Ovis aries: one gene and its partners. The protein of the gene in region 1 interacts with the protein of each later gene in a pairwise test. Links are inferred from orthologs where the notes say so. Each region holds a gene or a part of one and is shown in the gene's direction. Other genes may lie near its edges.

Region 1 (3,744 bases):
AAAGTTGAAAGTCAAAGTGTTAGTCGCTCAGTCCTGTACAATTCTTTGTTATCCCATGGACTGTAGCCTGCCAGGCTCCTAGATCCCTGGAATTCTCTAGGCAAGAATAGTTAAGTGGGTGGCCATTCCGTTCTCCAGGGGATCTTCTTGACCCAGGGATCGAACCCAGGTCTCCCCCATTGCAGGCAGACTCTTTACCAACTGAGCCACCAAGAAAACACTTCTAATTAGGGCGGGGACAAGCACCCACATTTCATTTTTATAAAGGCAAAGGCTTATCCCACTGACATTTGAACCCGAGGCAGCGGAAGTTCTCTGACCTGGCTCACCTCTTGAAGCCTGCCGCACGAACTGCTTAGGGAAGCCGGGAGCACTTATTTGAGAAATAAATCAACATATTTATTCCCGAGAGGCTCTCTGGCACCCCCTCGACCAGTGTTAGCCGCCTTTGGTGTTTATTAGACACAGATAAACCCGATTCTCGAAAGAAACGCTTGCATTTTTCGCAAACCTTTCCAGAGGTCAACTTGGGGCCCCTCCTGCATCAGGAGTCCCAGTGCCCTCCACGTTTCTCGTGCTGGGTCCCAATTCCTGCTGCAGCTCATACTGGAAGCTGTTCCCAGGGGAGAAGAGCAGACCCCCCCCCCCCCCCTCCTCGAAGCCCCCTGCCCCCGGGGGCGCCGGGACGTCGGGGGGCCGTGGCGGCGCGGAGCCGGAGCAGGACGCCGCGCGCACGGCGGCCCCGGGGCCGGCAGAGGGCGCTGCGGCCTCCCCGGCGGGGCTGCGGGGCTGCGGGGCGCGGGTCCCGGCGTGTGCATCTCGGGGAGGCCCGGACGGGGAGCGCGCCTCTCCGCCCGCCCGCCCGCGCGGTCCCCGCCGCCCGCACCTCTCCGGCCAGGCGCGCGGGTTGCGCGGCGCGCTCCGAGGCCCGCGCTTCGCCGCACCCCCCTCCCATCCCGCTCCGCCGCTTCTCTTTGTCCCGGCAAGGCGGCCGGAGGGGCGGCCGCTGCATCCGTTGGGGGGCTTCAGCCTCCGGGTCCGCGCTACCCCGCCTTCCCCGCGCTCCGAGCCTGGGCGGTGCCGGCGCGGGGTGAGCGCGGGGCGCGAGCGGGCGTGGGCGGGCGGCGGCGGGGACCGCGCGCGGGGGGCGCCCCTGCCTCCTCCGCCCGCGCCGCCGCCGCCGCCGGCTTCTCCCCGCAAGTTTGTGGCCCCCCCACCCACGTCTGCGGACCTGCGCGGCCGCTTGGCCGGGTCTAGACCTGTCGCCAAAGAGGAAAACTCGAGCTGGAGGCGGAGGAGGCGTGCGGGAAGCCAGTCCGCAATGAGCCTCTCCATCAGGGCAGCGTGGCTTCCTGGGCACCTCCCGAGGCTATTTCCCACCCAGGTGAGCGGAATCTCCTCTGTCCCGTCCGGCCGGGTCTGGCGGGGCCCCGGGGCCGGCGCTCTCGGACCCTGCGCGGAGCCGGGGAGCGCCCGCCGCGGGGGCGCTGGGCGGCGCGGGGTTGATTTGGGCTTTTCTGCCATCCGAGCGCTTGTTCTTTCTTGCCTGCATCACCTGCTCCGGCTGAGGTTTTTTTTGCAGCTCCTCCGGCACCTTCGCATGCTGTCAGGTTAAACATCCTCTGTTTTCGAAGGGCTGGTAGGTTGGTTCAACCGAATCCCTACCTCTCTATCCCCCACCCCCACCCCAACAACACCCCCAGCTTTGGATAATTTGTTCTGCCTCTTCGTCTTAATTTAGTATGAATGTGTTATTTCCTTTGAGCTGTGTAATGGTAAAGCAGCGAAGCGGTTTGCTACATCCATTTTTTTTCTCTTTTTTTTTCATTCTGAGCCTGTGCACAGAAGGAATTTCAGGCGCACAAGTGATGTTACTACCATTCTATTTTAAATACAAACACGGAAAGAAGTACTCTTGGCAGGGTACCAAAGGCGCCTGTACTCTCTGTTATATAAGTGCTTTTTAAAAAAATATTTGCTCATTGGTAAAGTTATAAAAGGAATTACCAGAGCATCTCTGAAGAGAGGGTGAAGAGAAGTCAGAGCCACAATTTCTGCTTTAAACCTAAACTTTCCTGGAAGATGAACATGGTCTTAGCTGGAGATAGCCTTAAAGATAACATAGGGCCCTTTCTTTGAACTCATTAGGTAAAATTGTAAAACGTTAAAAAAATAGAACAGTTTTGTAAAGGCTCTTGAGAGACTTGGTGAAAATTCTTGAACCACGTATTGATAGTAATAAAAAAGATCCCACAGATATTCTTTGTGGCTTTTAAACTAGTGACTTATTTTATTTTTTATAGCTGATGGAAACTCAGTAATTATGAGCTGCCAGTTATTAAAGATTTAGATAACCTTTAATATCTCTACTTGTGTTTATGGATATTTTTTTTTTTCAGGGAAGAAGACAGAAGTAGGAATATCAAGTATACTGATGTCTGGGCACTTCCTTTTGTGACCGGCACCTCAGTGTTCTGTTCTAATTGGGTTTTGGTGATGCTGTGATATTTGGAATGTTAAAAACTCCCTAGTGATTCCAATCTGTAGCTGAGGTGAGACCCATAGGATAGCACTGTTTCTTCTAATTTGTCACTTTGTAGCCCAAGGTGTGGCTACAGTGGTTTAAAGAAAGTAAAAAACAAGTGGTTAGAAATATGGGGAGAGAAAAATGGTATAGGAAGGGAGATATGTTGAAGAATTATAGCATGTTCACGTCTGTATTTTGTCAAAATATCTTCTTGATTTTTAAAAAATCCACAAGGAGTAGTTGATATTGTTGTTTAGTTGCTAAATCATGTCTGACTCTGTGCAACTGCATGGACTGCAGCCCGCCAGACTCCTCTGTCCATGGGATTTCCCAAGCAAGAATACTGGAGTGGGTTGCCATTTCCTCCTCCAGGGGATCTTCCCAACTCAGGGATCCAACCTGCGTCTCCTGCGTTGGCAGCTGGGTTCTTTACCACTGAGCCACCAGGGAAGTCCCCCAGTAGTTGATGTTTATCGGGATACATGGTCCCCTGTTGACTAAGTTGGGAAGTGGGACATCTCTCTGTGCAGAAGTGACAGTGACGTTGAGTCGTGGTGTCAAGATACTCCTTTCTGTTTACATGGAAAGACGGTCAAGATTTATTGAAAGATCATTCTTTCTATCACATTCAACACTCATTAAGTGAATACAGACTAGCCAAAAAAGTGCAAAAAAGCTTTTATTGTCTTTAAGTTTGGAAATAAACTTGGCTGCTGAATCAGTGTTTTCTTTCTACCTTATGTAATTTCCCAATATTGCAGTCTAGGGGTGGATCTTATGGGTGGTTTGTGAAGGCTTATGTAAGAGCTGCGACTATGCTTTTCGTATTCTGTGAAACTCCCTGTTTTGGCTATTACATAATTGACACAGTGCTGGATGGGAGAAGCCCAAACAGGGAAAGGATGTACAAGCCCAGCCCAGCACAGGCGCTTTCATAATGAATCGCTGCTGCCAAATTAGAGGGAACAGCAGGGATGGAGGTTTGTGAAAGAGAGATAAGAACAGCGTCCAGAGGACCGATGTAAGAGACGACAGTTCTGCTTAGCGGTTTTCTGGAGATTTTAATGCTGCCGTATTAACCTCTCTAGCCTTTTGTGTCTCCCAGCAGAGGCGCCTTGACGGGGAAGCTAATGAATGTTAAGCTTCAGGGGCCCTTACTCTGGCTCCATCCAAGCCCCCGGGAGGGACACTGGCAGCGTGCTCTCCTGGCCACAGAA
Region 2 (3,744 bases), on another chromosome or scaffold:
CTCCCTGAGTAGGGCAAATTCAGGGTGCACGGAGCCTAGGATGCGATGTAAAATTGGCTGTCAACAGCTTTGCAACGGAAAAAATTTGGTGAAAGTTCCAGTGTAGTGCAAAATAGAAGGCGTCCTGTGGCACGAAGTTGAATCGGATCCTCAGGCCGCAAAATATTCCAGGAGCCTTCAATCTGGGCAAGTCAACAATACATTAGGCAGCTTATAGGGAAATTCGAACTGTAGGTGTGGGGGGGGCGGGGGAGGGGCGCTGCTTCTGTGTGATATACTAACTTGCCTCTTCAGTGTAATTTAGAGATGAGAAGCTTCTTCCTGTCAAACCTGCTTTTCCTAATAGAGTAACCCGCCTGCTAGCTCACGCTTCACTCTTCTAACCAATTCCTCATTCATAACTAGCTAGCTTGACCCCCAGTGGGAAATGTACTCAGTCACCCCTCAAAGGCAGTGCAAACGGGGCTCTACGTTGTCCAACAAAGTGGATCTAAACCCCTGCTTTCTGGTTTCTCCAGGTGGGATAAAAACAGAGGAAAGGGCTTCCCAGGATGATTCAAGACAAATCCAGCCTTTTCCCTCCCCGCCCCAGCCCGGATTCGTATCTACCGCGCTGTGCAGTCTCGGAATGGTTCCCTCTCCAGGTAATGCCAGCCTATGCCGCAGCCCAGGACCTCTCGGGATCGGCCGGGGTTGGTGCTCCTGCGGCTGTTTGACAGCGAAGAAGCCAGGGCCAGGAGGGGCGCGGTCTCCGCGCGCGCGCATCGTCGACCCCGCCTTCGGAATTCCCGGGTCCGGACTTCGAGCGGAGTGAGCGCGTCCCCCGAGCCGTTTCTGATTGGCCATCTCGTTTGCCTTCCTTCTCTCCATTGGGCGACGCGCTGGGATCTCCCGCCTTCCGCGTTTTCTGATTAGTTCACAAGTTTTCCCGGGTTCCCGGAGTTGGGAGGAGCCGCCAGGGCGCGGAGAAACCCCTAACGCCTTAATTGGGCCTGGCTTTAGACACTACTGCGCCTGCGTGCGCCGCTTCCCCGCCTCCTTCCGGAGAGGTAACCCTACAGGCTTAAGAGCGTCCCGCCAACCTGCCCGCTTTGCGCAGGCGCGGCCAGGGATCCAGGCAGCGACCGGGAGCTAGGTGTAGGGGGTGTGGCCAAAGGGCTGTGGGGTCTCTCGCGCTGGGTAAGGGGCATTCGGGAAGAGTCAGTTGGGGGCGGGAAGGGGCTGAGAGGGGGTGCGGGGGTGGGTTCAGGGGTCCACCGGGCGGAGGGGCGTAAGGGCAGGGTAAAGGAACAAATGAGGTGGTCAGAACAGCCTTAGAGCTCAGCGTCCAGCAGGGCGAAGACTCAGGAGGATCTGGGAGAGAGGAGGGAGGGAGTGCAGGCTACTGAGACATGAGAGGGTGAGGGGCCAGCATAATTCCTTCAGGATAAAAGCAAATAGTGATGTAGGGAGGGATAGGGATCCCAGATTGGGAGAAAAATAGATGAATTCGGGTGGGAGGGTGGGGAGATCTTGACAAGCCCTCTCTGCTCTAGGACTCTGGAGAGGCAGGTGGGAGGCAGGAATGGAAGCTGAGGGGACGATAGAGAGAAACTGAGTGGAAAGTTGCTGGCACGGTTTGGATAAGATGTCCGAAACTAGCTGGCTTTTCTGCTAAGGAGTCCAGGCTGCCTGGATTCCCCCAGGGGTTCTGGGGAGGCATTCTGTGCTACATGTGGCCGCATTCATCAGGGGCCAGGCCTTGGGTCAGCGCTCTAATAGGGAAGGACCCGGGAGTCATGGCTTGGTGGTGTCTGGATGGGCTTCCCCAAGGTCTTGGTGAGCCATGGAGAGAACTCTGGAGACTGGGCTCACGGCCCCTGCATCGCATACCTCAATTGTCACCTTCATCCAGGAACTGCAGAGACCATAGAAACTTAAGGAGGAGGGTAAAGGCACTGTCCAGAATTCTAAAAGTATGAGTAAAACTTCACAGCCCCTCAGCCTGTCTCAGTAAATTGTCTCCACCTCATGGCTGTTGCCATAGTCTGTCAGGAACCAGACTGAGACAAGCAAGGGATCTTGGGGTACTTCCTGCTTCTTTTGGGAAGTAGAATAAGAAAAGCTAAGAGTCGGATGGACCTGGCTGTTATTTAAGGATTATGACTTTGTTATTGTAGGGGCTCTCTTTTTGGAAGGAGGCCTGAAAATTGAATTGGAGTGTCTTTGTTTCTCCTATTGTTTAGGGGGGCATAGATGGCTGTACACCGACTCTAGAGACTTCAAATAATGTGGAGATGTTTCGACCTTCAGGTCAGTGGGACCTGGCATGGGGACTGGTGATTGTGTCTCCCTGGAGAACTGAGTACCTTTGTCCTTACGATTCTTTAGGTTCCACTGGGCTGATTCCCCCATCCCACTTCCAAGTTCGGCCCCTTCCAACACTGCCGAGAATGGCTCCCACATGGGCCTCAGACGCTCCCCTGGTCCAGCGCCCAACCCATCAAGATGTTTTAGAGAGGCGGCCAGACAACCAGAGACCTCAAGTTACCATGTGGGAACAGGAAGTTTCTGGCAAAGGGCAGGAACCAGAGTGGAGAGGCAGGTATGGATCTAATGTTACTGTTCTCTTGGGCTTGCTTGCCAATGACCCTTCTTGACTGTAATAGAGTCCTTACCCTCTTTCAACCCTTAGTTCCACAATTTGTTCATTTTTTTTTAGAAGCAATTGTTGGTGTCTACAATGCATAAATAATAGCAGTGTGCTAGATGCTAGGGACAAAGATAACAAAAATAAATAAGATATCCTGATATCAAAGAATTTTAAATCCTAAGGGAAGAAATTGGTTGACCCACAGCTGATTGTACTAAGCGTAGTATAAGGCAGGCTGAAGAAGTGTGGGCTGGGTATACAGACTGGGTGCTGTAGTAGTACGAGTTCATCTGGTGGAGCTGGCCATGCTCTCTGTCAGTGTGTTGTCTGTGAAAATTCTTATTCTTGATGTTTCATGTGAATCTTTTCCCAAATGTACTGGACCATCCGTCTGCCATTTTGTTCCTGAGCAGGATTGCAATTGGGTCTACTTTGGGCCCTGTCAAAGGGAAAGAAGGAGGATGATGAAAGGGGAGCGTGAGAGTGTCAGGGGATGGAGACTCTGTGGCTTGTTTGGCTACCCTCTAGGGGTCCTTTGTCCAGTCACTTAATTTCTGTAGGCTACAGATCCTGTAAAAAGGTGTTGGGGAGTCCAGTGGTTAGGATTCCAGGCTTTCACTGAAGGACACATGTTCAGTCCTTGCTTTGGGATCTAAGATCCCACAAGCTGCATGGCACAGCTGAAAAAAAATTTTTTTACAGTGCTCTGGTTCTGGGCCTCAGTGAGGGAACTGTGTCAAGAATCATCTTATAAGCTGGTTTCAGCTCTCTAGAGGTTGGGACTTTGTGATTTATTGAGATGCTGCCCTCTCAGACTTCTCATGCAGGATATCTAACAGTTAAATAATCTTAACTGGCGTCTGGCCTTGCCATACTGATACTGGAAGCCATCACCTCTCTTTGTACCTCCATCAAACTTTTCCCTGCCCTTAAGTCAGAATTCAGCAGTCTCAGTGTCCTTCAGACTTCTCCAATTCAGAATGTGTAGCCTAATGATGTGGAGAAGACGATAGCACCCCACTCCAGTACTCTTGCCTGGAAAATCCCATGGACGGAGGAGCCTGGTAGGCTGCAGTCCATGGGGTCGCTAAGAGTCGGACATGACTGAGCGA
Region 3 (3,744 bases), on another chromosome or scaffold:
ACAGCATGAACTCGCCCTTCACCAAAACCTCATATATCGACTTTCCCCCACTGCCGCTTTGGAGCACTCGCTCAGAGCCACCTGAGACGCTGCCTCCCAGGGCTGCAGTCCTCATTTTGCCCCCAATAAAACTTAACTCACAACTCTCAAGTTGCACTTTTTTTTTTTCTTCCACAGTCACAAATGATCAGACACGACTGAGCGAACACTGCATGCGTAAGGCCTTCCAAACATCAAGGTCTCCGGACACGCCTTTGGAGGCAGGGGGCCTATACCGCGGCGTGTGACGTATGCACACACCTGTCGGCGCGTGGGTACGTGCAACAGCTGCATACGTGTGCATGTCTGTAGACACACGTATACACACGTGAGCGTGTCAGTGAGCCTGTGAAACCAACACGCGTGCCCCTGTTCTTCTAGGAGACACCCCCGCCACCCAAGTCGCAGTGCCCGGCTTGACAGGGACACCCCGAGTCTGAGCCCCCGTGGGTCCTGGAAATGCAGCGGGCCCTCCTCCATCCCGGGACCCCCAAATGCACCCAGAGTCATCAGGGTCAGAGCTGGGGGTGCTGGGTCCTCCGGAGGCGCTCTCCTGGGCGGACCCGGGTCTCCCGGGCTGCGCACAGGCAAACCCTACTCCGAAGCCGGGCCGGCCGGGGTTCGGGGCCGTCTCGTACGCTGGGTCAGAACGCACAGACTGCATCGCTCGTCCCGCGGGGCGAGCAGGGGCCTGGAGGGCGCCGGGGGTCATCAGGACCTTTCGGGGCGGCTGGGTGGGGGGGTGGGGGTCGCGGGCGGGACTCGGGGGTCTGCGGCGCGGAGCCGGGGCCCCAATGATCGGACCGGCCAGAGTGGACGAGCCTGGGGACCCGAGCGTCCGGTGCTACGATTGGGAGAAGAGAGGGCGCGGGCCTTCGCAAAGCCCGGCCTGTCCCCTACGCCAGTGTCGTTCGTCGCCGCCGCCAGGCCAAGCATGACCTTGAAAAGGTCAGAGTGGCCGCCACGCAACCCAGCGCGACCCGCCCCGGGCACGCTCGGCGCAGAGGCGGGGCGCGGTTCCCGACATGCCCCGCGGCGAGACGCGCGGGCCAGGGGCGGGGCCTGGGTGGTGGCGCAGCCAATAGGCGCGGCGCACGGGGGCCCCCGGGGCGGGGCGAGGCGCAGCTCCCGGCAGCCCGCGGGAGGCGCGGCGCGCGCCCAGGGGGCGGGGCCGGGGCGGCGGCGCAGCCAATGGGCAAGGCCGTATGGACCCACGGGGCGGGACGAGGCGCCGCTCCCGGCAGGCCGCGCGGGGGCGGTGCGCGCGCCCAGGGGGCGGGGCCCGGGCGGCGGCGCAGCCAATGGGCGCGGCGCGCGGGGGCCGCGGGGCGGGGCGCGGGCCCCTTAGCGGCTGCGCGGTGGCCGCCCTGTCCTTTCGGTCCCGGCGGCGGCAGCGCTGAGCCAGCGGCGCTCACCTTCCGGCTCTCTCTCTGCTTCTCTGCGCCTCCGCTCCGCTCTCCGCCCGCCGCCATGACGGAACAGGCCATCTCCTTCGCCAAGGATTTCCTGGCCGGGGGCATCGCCGCCGCCATCTCCAAGACGGCCGTGGCCCCGATCGAGCGCGTCAAGCTGCTGCTGCAGGTGCGTGTCAGGCTGCTGGCGCGCGGCCGCCGGCGCCGGGCCCCGGGGAGCTCGGGCGCGCGCGCGGCCCCGGGACCGGAAGCGGGGAGGTCGCGCCGCTTTGTCCGCGCGCGGCCGGCCGGGCTGGCTTCCGGGGGGTCGCGTCACGTGGGCACCGCCGCGAGGGAGCGCATGCGCGGGGGGCGCCCGGCGGCGATGTCCGCATTGGGGCGCGGGGCGCCGCATGCGCGTCGGGCGGCCGGCGGCGGCGCCCTCCGCGCCTGCGCACTGGGGGGCTGCAGAGTTGGAGTGCGCATGCGCGGGGGGAGAGCCGCGTGGACGGACCCTGCGAGGCTGTGGGTGGGGTCCCGTCCCCTTGGGCCGTGGACGGGGAAAGATCTTTAGTCTCCGCAGTTGTACTGGTCTTCTTGCCCACTGTTCGCACTTGTTTGCGCGGGTATGAGGTGGAATAAACTGCGCTGGTCTGTTTGGAGCGTCACAAATGGGGAGCCAGTGGAATTAGCGTTGCGATGGGATTGCCACCCTTAAAGAAAATAGGATTCCCCAGGAAGGATGCTAGGAGAGCTTAAAGGCCCCGTGTAAATGTCTTATTAACGACACGTCGGTCGTTGGTGACCTCTGCAGGTGTCAACCGCAAATTGGCGCTTGTGGGCACCTGCTGTTTACCTCTGAAAGCGGTAGTAGTGTCAGTCGTGTCCGACTCTTGCGACCCCATGGACTGTAGCCCTGCCAGGCTGCTCTGTCCATGGGATTCTCCAGGGAAGCATACTGGAATGGGTTGCCATGCCCTCCTTCAGCGGATTTTCCTGACTCAGGGGTGAAACCCGGGTCTCCTGCATTGCAGGGTGATTCTTGACCGTCTGAGCCGTCTCTATGAGTATTGAGTCAGGTGCTGCTGACCTTCAGACCCCGTGAAAGGACCTCAGGGTGGAGAGCAGGAATGAGGCATGCGGGTTCTGGGAAAAAGTGACAGGCCAGGTCATGAGACAGATGTTTCCAGTGGCTGATTGTGAGCCCACTTCTTGCTTGCCCACCTCATGTTTCAGTTCAGTCGCTCAGATGTGTCCGATCATTGCCGACCCCATGGGCTGCAGCACGCCAGGCTTCCCTGTTCATCGTTTAGAAAAGCACTAAAAACTTTTACTGTGACGAGTGCTCCTTGAGGCTCTGAGAAAGGCTCTGCGAGAGTGTGTGCTCGCTCTAGGAACTTCCCATTGACCAGAATCTCATCCAGTCTCACCTCTGGCTCAATCTCTCAGCTATCTGAGCTGCTCTCCCCCGGGGGGTGTAGTCCTCGCCTTGCCCCAGATCGTAACTCGCCACTCTCGGGTCGTGTATTTTTTATAAGTGGCCATGGAGGTCTGCCCTAGGCCCTGGGTGAAGCCCTGTTCCCCCTCACTCCTGCCCCAGGGTGCAGCACGCCAAGCTTCCCTGTCTGTCGTGTGTGAAAAAGCATTAAAAACCTTCACGGTGACGAATGCACCTTGAGACTGTAAGAAACGCTCCGCGAAAATATGTCCTAGCTCGTATGAACTTCTGTTGACCAGAATCCCACCCATACCGACCTTTCCCTCACCTCTTGGAGCAGTCACTCAGAGCTGTCTGAGCTTCACCAGAATCTCCTCTAAGTCTCGGCGGTGTGCCCAGGCCCCCGGTAGAGCCCTGTGTCTCCCTCCGCCGCCCCCCAGGTGCAGCACGCGAGCAAGCAGATCGCGGCCGACAAGCAGTACAAGGGCATCGTGGACTGCATTGTGCGTATCCCCAAGGAGCAGGGCGTGCTGTCCTTCTGGCGGGGCAACCTGGCCAACGTCATCCGCTACTTCCCCACGCAAGCCCTCAACTTCGCTTTCAAGGACAAGTACAAGCAGATCTTCCTGGGGGGCGTGGACAAGCACACGCAGTTCTGGAGGTACTTCGCAGGCAACCTGGCCTCGGGCGGCGCGGCCGGGGCCACCTCCCTGTGCTTCGTCTACCCGCTGGATTTCGCCCGAACCCGCCTGGCGGCCGACGTGGGCAAGTCGGGCAGTGAGCGCGAGTTCAGGGGCCTGGGAGACTGTCTGGTGAAGATCACCAAGTCCGACGGCATCCGCGGGCTGTACCAGGGCTTCAACGTGTCGGTGCAGG

What was found.
Region 2: the proteins of MTUS2 (region 1) and CCHCR1 interact in binary tests that used the Homo sapiens proteins (3 or more experiments, as listed by UniProt). The link is inferred for Ovis aries from reciprocal best matches to the Homo sapiens genes MTUS2 and CCHCR1.
Region 3: the proteins of MTUS2 (region 1) and SLC25A6 interact in binary tests that used the Homo sapiens proteins (3 or more experiments, as listed by UniProt). The two-hybrid records come from large-scale screens. The link is inferred for Ovis aries from reciprocal best matches to the Homo sapiens genes MTUS2 and SLC25A6.

What each region holds. Positions count from the first base shown.
Region 1 is NC_056063.1:31,674,548-31,678,291, reverse strand, and holds the start of MTUS2 (microtubule-associated tumor suppressor candidate 2), read left to right. Parts: upstream 1-1,227; 5' UTR 1,228-1,384; intron 1,385-2,399; exon of another isoform or gene 2,400-2,552; intron 2,553-3,744. UniProt on the Homo sapiens protein: Binds microtubules. Together with MAPRE1 may target the microtubule depolymerase KIF2C to the plus-end of microtubules. May regulate the dynamics of microtubules at their growing distal tip.
Region 2 is NC_056073.1:27,062,972-27,066,715, forward strand, and holds the start of CCHCR1 (coiled-coil alpha-helical rod protein 1), read left to right. Parts: upstream 1-1,519; 5' UTR 1,520-1,712; coding exon 1,713-1,928; intron 1,929-2,225; coding exon 2,226-2,292; intron 2,293-2,370; coding exon 2,371-2,584; intron 2,585-3,744. UniProt on the Homo sapiens protein: May be a regulator of keratinocyte proliferation or differentiation.
Region 3 is NC_056080.1:6,639,086-6,642,829, forward strand, and holds the start of SLC25A6 (ADP/ATP translocase 3), read left to right. Parts: upstream 1-1,509; coding exon 1,510-1,620; intron 1,621-3,308; coding exon 3,309-3,744. UniProt on the Homo sapiens protein: ADP:ATP antiporter that mediates import of ADP into the mitochondrial matrix for ATP synthesis, and export of ATP out to fuel the cell.